2 linked regions of the Saccharomyces cerevisiae S288C genome follow. The gene in region 1 interacts genetically with each later gene. Each region holds a gene or a part of one and is shown on either strand. Other genes may lie near its edges.

Region 1 (3,399 bases):
AAATCATTGATTACGGGGTGTAGCGCCACAGTGTTCCTCTTCCCGAATTGGTTGCTCGATCTTCTTGTGCCACCTGTGTGGAAAAATTTTAAACATTGACCCTGAAGTTCCTCCGGAGCAGCCACTCGAACTTCGTCTTCGTTGTCATCGTCGTTTCTTGAAAAAGAGTACTCCATGTCCCAGTGGTAGACATTACCCGTTCCTCCAACCGTAACAAATTCTGTTGCAGAGGTTTGTGAGAACAGGATATCGACAACGGAATCGCCGCCAGAATGGAACAACTTGGCTATTTCGTTTTGGATCGGTTCCTCGCCGTTCTGCCTATGTGTGAGGTCAGTAGTAGCCAGTTGCACAGCACGCGCATCCCATAGCTTGATGACACCCGTGCTGAACCCAGTGACAAATAGGTTTTCAGTAACTTGAGAGGAATCGAAGGACGTTAGTCGTCCATTTTTCGGTTCGCTTAGCGTCCAAAGCGGTTTGTCCGCTGTTCTTGTGTCCCAGAATCTTAAAATGTTGTCATCTGAACAAGATGCAAATAAATGGTTGTTAAAAAATCTAACTGAGTGAGCCACGTTGGTCCCTGGAACGTGCACTGTACGTAATATATCTCCCGGTCTATCGGAGTTGTCGATGATTTTCAAGATGCTGTCCTCCTCGTAGCCGTTACTTTGTGACTTTACTACCGTATCCATATTTGTCGACACATCAAAATCTGACACTGCTAATGAACCTGGTCTGGTTAGAGAGTGAATACTAGAGTATCTAGTAGCAGGGCCCATCATTTCCTGTACGATATGAACGGGAACCTTGATCTCATCTCTGAACCATGCCAAAGAGCCGTTCTTGGACATCGCGATCGCCGTACTGTCGTCTGAGCTTTCCAAGTATTGCATTTTTGCCACTGTTTCGCCCTGGTAAATCCACTTTGGGCGCAATGGTTTCCCCTCAACATCTTGGAAAGCATCACCATACTCTGGATTTGGGGTGGCTGCAGACTTCGTCTTGCCGTTACCTTCTTCGTCGTCGTCGTCGTTGTCGTCGTCGTCGTCGTCGTCATAGAATGTCTTTAATGGTAAAGTAGTGTCTATTTCGTAAATATCACTACCTTGAGAATATAAAAGACTAGTCGTCAAGGTGCCCTTGGATTTGTCTGGAATAATCTCACTTCTCCATGTCAGTGTCTTGCTAAAATGTAAAACATCGTCGACTCTTGTGCTGAATTGTGGTTTAAAGCTAGAAATGTGTTGGTATAAAGAAGGTGCCGGTTTACGGCGTGCTCCACTCGCACCCTGACTGGATTTGCTTTTCGCCATCCTCTATCCTTTTTAGTTCTTGCTCCCGTCGCTACTAATTGCTCCTTGTCTTATAAGTAAATGTAGCTGTACAGCAGAGATGTTCCATACGTCAGCTAACTAATTGCCTTTAATCTTTTTTTTTTTTATTTTTTTTTTTTTTCAAAAACAATAGAATTGAAGATGTGAGATGGAAAGGGAAATCAAAGTGCCATAAATGGTAAAGGCTTGCATTATGACCCGAATGGGTAAGAATGATCCAATGAGAGTCTGCGGACGCATATGTGCGGAATATGACTTAGCAGTTCGAACCCCGAACGGGGCTAAAAAACCAAAAGGACAAACCTTATGCGGAACATCTACCATCTATTCAAGGGAGTATAGCTTCCGTGTAGACTATAGAAGAAGCGTTCCAGTCAATTCTACTACATCAGTCTTCCGACATCGCTGATTGTATCCTAACCAGGTCCACAACTAAAATTTGTTTTGAAAAGAGTGGCTAGAGAGCGAATACGTGCTCTGTAATTGTGTGAGGCAAGTTGGTCGTCAATTGGAAAATAAGTAAGGAAAACCTTGTGTAGATTGTATTGCTCCTAACAGGTCCCGAATTACTAGGGCATATACCAGTTAGCCCAGAGTTTTGTTTATTACGATGATAAAGTTGCATGAAGTGCCTCCAGAACCAGTAGACCCTGCTAGTCTCCCTCATGATGTTAATGCACATAGCCCCGAAGGAGATGGTAATCCTGATAAGAGGAAAAAAATATTTGGCATTCCGTATCCTTTTTCCAGGAGTTCATGTCGGAGATTCCTTTGGAACTGTCAAAAGATTTCGGTACTGCCCATGGCATTGTATTTCCCACTACATGCAGCAAATACATTAATCACGCCGGCAGTATCACCTGATTCTGCTCCTGACGACGTTTTAATGATGGTGAGAGAGATTTTACCGTCCATAACTACCAAGCTGTTAGTTGCGGGTATTACTCTTCATGTTTCTGCTGGTGTCTTGCTCCGAATCGTGAACAACTGGAACAAGCCAAGAAGAAATAGACATCGACATTTAAAGATATCGGCCGAACAAGATCTATCCCAAGATTCGATTGGTTTAACTGGTGGAATTTCTGGCTATTTATTTGGATTGTATAAGACCTTCCGCATTCCTCCACAAGTGATTAGTGGATACATCCTTGTTCCCGTCCTGATATACCACTTATTAATTATGAAATGGGTGCCGAATTCCATCTCTACTGAGGTGGATTTCGCCTCTATAAAGCAATTACTATCTAGCAAGAACAGGTGGTGGAAATGGCTTGGAGGCCTGGTGCCGTTAGCTATTCTCCTCGAGTCAGGTGTATATCATATAGGTTCGGGGCTCTGCCGTTATTTCGGTGTTAGAAAAATGACTAGCAGGAAAAAATGGTCCACAGCTATCAATCTATTAACACTCGTTGGGTTCGTTTCTCTGATTAGATTGATGAAAGAGGATTCTACGAAACTGGGTCCCAACCAATTCGAAAGCATTTTCAAAAAGATCCGGTTGCTGTTGCACGTGAATTAGGAATCCTTGTGGGAGTAGTGTGAAGCTATTAATTTGCGACAATTCTCGAACAGTTAATTATATTATTCTCAGTATTTATTTTAAATTTCTGTATTTTTATCTGATTAATAACATTAGTGTGCATAATGAAGGCAAAAAATTTCGGCAGAAAGTATATGATTATGAAAAAACGTAAAATACATATACACATAAAACGTACATACATATATAGATTCCTAAGAATACATTATTGATGGGATATTTATACAAAGATGCACCTTCTAATAATCGAAAGAGAAAGGAAAGACAGAAGCATAAAATAATTTAGGTTTTACTGTGACGAACATTAGACAGATCGTTCAATAGTTTGTCATATTTTTTTGTCACTGTTTCATCTTCAACAAGGGGCCTCTGCAAAGGCGCCTTTTGTTGTGATTCTTGTAAACTGTCATTACTCGGGCTTCTAGAGTTCAATTCATCTCCATATAATGATTCCAATCCAACCTTTTCAGAGGTAACATTTTTAATCAGATCATCTACAGAATCAATACCCTTAGCTTTAAT
Region 2 (3,020 bases), on another chromosome or scaffold:
TTTCTTAACCATTCACTACTTTCGTACAATCGTTGATTTATTTCTGAATGTGCATCTGTTGTTAGATTATTTAGATCATCGAGGGTTTCTATGATTGAACGGGTAGAGCCTGGCTTCCTTTGAGTTTTCTTCCTAGCTGCTTTGATTGCCCAGTCCATTGTTTAAATCTTCGGGCTCTTTCAAAGTCCGTCAGTTGAGGAGATACTTTGAAACGTTTTGTTTGTATCATTGGCAATACTTGAAACGAGTTTTTGTTTGTTTTCTTTTTTTAGTTAATTCGCGAAATTTAAAATATGAAGATCGGTTTCAGAACAGAATGGATCAGGCTTTTCCGCGTATAAGAAATAATAACACTGACATAACGCTATAACGAAACAGCGTAACAAAATACTCTTTACATGGTTTATTTTTATATATTCATTTAACATTATCAAAACTAACATTAAGTCCTTTATTTATCAAAACAAACGAAAAAAAAAAATGCGAGACAAATGATCCAGTCATTTATTGTCAATATCTAAGTCAATTAGTGGTTGCAATATGTCTCCAGTTTCCACTTTATGAGCAAAAATTTTGCCCTCAATATTTATCTGATTTTTTTCAGCGAATTCTTTCAAACTCCCGAATCTACCGCTTGCGTTTCTTCTTAATTGTTCATTGGTATTCATGATTGTGTTTTTCGGGGACATTTGGTGGGTATATGAAGTATCCGGTGAAGAATGATATTCTTTGTCCAAGAAAGAACTTGCCAATGAAGTTTTTCTTGAATTGACGCCTATGCTTGAATTAGAATCGTACCCGTCAATGAAATTTGGCTTACAAGACCTGCTGAATGAGATTGCATGACTTTTTCTGTGGTAACTTTTCCTTCGCCCTGAAGGCTTTGTAAGTTCGTGTGATAATGAACGTGAATGCGAATGTGATGATAATTCATTACTTTCTACCCTTAAAGGTGATACCGCATTAGGCTTTCTTGGACATATGGAGGAATTTCTCCTCGTTTTCACACCATCCTTGTCTCCAGGGAAAGAGTAGGTCTTCAGCTTGTTGAACAGAGCTTCGCCTTGAGACTCTTCAAAATAAAAGCTCTTTTCGTACTCATGGGGTTGTTTGCTGCTATCGAACTGAGATTCTGTTGAAGAGAGAGAGCTGAAACGTCCATAGAGTGGGCTGCCAAGTGATTTAATGGATGTACTAGATTGACTGCCCGTAGTAGGAAAACTAAATGTGCTTATTCTTTCTCTTTCTTTTTGCTCAAATTTGCCCATATCTTGCTGGAAAGGGAAACTTCAGTGAAGTAATAACGAAGGTGGTGTAGAGTATAAATTTTTATTAAGTATGCGCTTTGACGTTCACATATTTGTAAAAGATTTATTTGAGAAGATAGAATGGGTCTCATTTATTTATACTTAAATGCTTCTTTGGATGTCAAGCTTTCTTGATGCCGGACTTGCAGTCGAAGGGCTCTTTCCCAACAGATATGTAACCAAATGCGTCGAATAGAAAAAGAAAGTCTTCCAAGGAAAGTTTATTACGAGGGGTTTTGTGCATTAACGTGGCATATAATTAGGTATAAACTCAAGGTTGGCTTAAGATTAGCGAAACAAAAGTATAAACGACCCAAAATTGGAGTGGATGTGTTCTTTAACACATAAACTGTCGTACAAAAAAAAAAGAAACAAAGAGCAGTTGAAAGAACATCAAGATCATAAGGACCCCCATATCGTGATAATCATTGATGACCAAATCGTGAACTCCCTGCGCCTATGCCGTGCCATAGCAAATAAAGTACTGGGCTGGATTGTTAATGACTTGCATATTAACGACAGGTAAACGGTACCCTATTTTTCTTTTTTACGTGCTACGGACGAAAAGTGAGGGTGATTAACGCTTCAAATAAGAAACGACGGCTAGCAGGGTCTAGATGCGTGAGATGAGATAAGGAAAAGAGCTCTGTGTCCCAGGTAATAATCCCTGGAGAGATATAATCTTCCCTACAACTTGATTGCATATTAACGCTCCCAAGTTGTGGCCATTGAAGAGCTCTACAGCAATGTCCCGACGAACGGAAATAACCCTCTTTTTCATGATATTTTCGGAGTTATCTCCACTGTCAACAACTATTCTCGAATATAACAGAATGAAAGGGATCACGTACGCTTGTTATATTGCTGTCGTTCTCCGTTCGCAATCCCATTATATGCGAGGGGCAAAAGAAGAGACGGCCGGTAACTCATTTTTTGGTGTGTGAGAATTGCGGAAGCTTCGTTCTCCCACCTTTTTTCGCTGTGTTTTTCTTGTCCTCAGCACCGGCTGGTCAAGCCGGTGCTGAACGGCCGGAGAGAAATATAAACGGATGAAAACGTGTTAATAATTGCATCAGTAGTAGGTGGCGGGGTTGTCTCATTTTTGTTATGGCGTAAGGTGAAAAATTGTAAAGGATTGGTTCGGTTGGGTTGGCGACAATTAATTATGGGATAAAAAATTGCTTAATCTTTATTGGAGCAATTACCTGCATAGGCACTCATAGGCCACAAGGGTTTGATGGCGGAAGGATGTTATACCTACGATACTACCATACATGTGATATGTCACTTTCTAGTCCGAAGCGTGGAACATATTATCTTGTTTGACGTTGTGGGTGTTAACCGTAATTGTCTGGGTACGCCGAAGGCACGGAGACCATGTTAAAATATGTTTCTCTTTTTTGCTCATTTTTTTCTATTTTTTGCTGCGCATTGCCCGAAGCTTTTCTTAGTGGTAGTCTGCTCTCGCGCTCTTTGTTACACTCGCAAAATTTTTTTGCTGGGCAAAATAAAGCACTCTCCGGCCATTACTGGCTGTCGTCCGCCAGGATTTTCATTAACTTGCAGAAGTAAACAAACAAAACACAATTATGACACCGTGGAAGTTTCCTAAATGGTAACAAAAAGCTTAATTGAAAGAAAGAATTTCCTTCAACTTCGGTTTCCTGGTTCCGCTATTTCTCGCTTGTTTCTTCTATTGGACTTAGGATGTCT

Evidence for each region. Genes that interact genetically often act in the same process or in processes that back each other up.
Region 2: mutations in MCP1 (region 1) and ICS2 together harm fitness more than expected from each alone (negative genetic interaction), as found in Saccharomyces cerevisiae (one large-scale study listed by BioGRID).

The regions. Positions count from the first base shown.
Region 1 is NC_001147.6:766,326-769,724, reverse strand, and holds MCP1 (Mcp1p), read left to right. Parts: upstream 1-1,947; coding exon 1,948-2,856; downstream 2,857-3,399. Other genes in the region: WTM2 (transcriptional modulator), read right to left, coding at 1-1,316; HER1 (Her1p), read right to left, coding at 3,160-3,399. UniProt on the Saccharomyces cerevisiae protein: Recruits the lipid transfer protein Vps13 to mitochondria thereby promoting vacuole-mitochondria contacts. Involved in mitochondrial lipid homeostasis.
Region 2 is NC_001134.8:553,043-556,062, forward strand, and holds ICS2 (Ics2p), read right to left. Parts: upstream 1,269-3,020; coding exon 501-1,268; downstream 1-500. Other genes in the region: SLI15 (Sli15p), read right to left, coding at 1-158.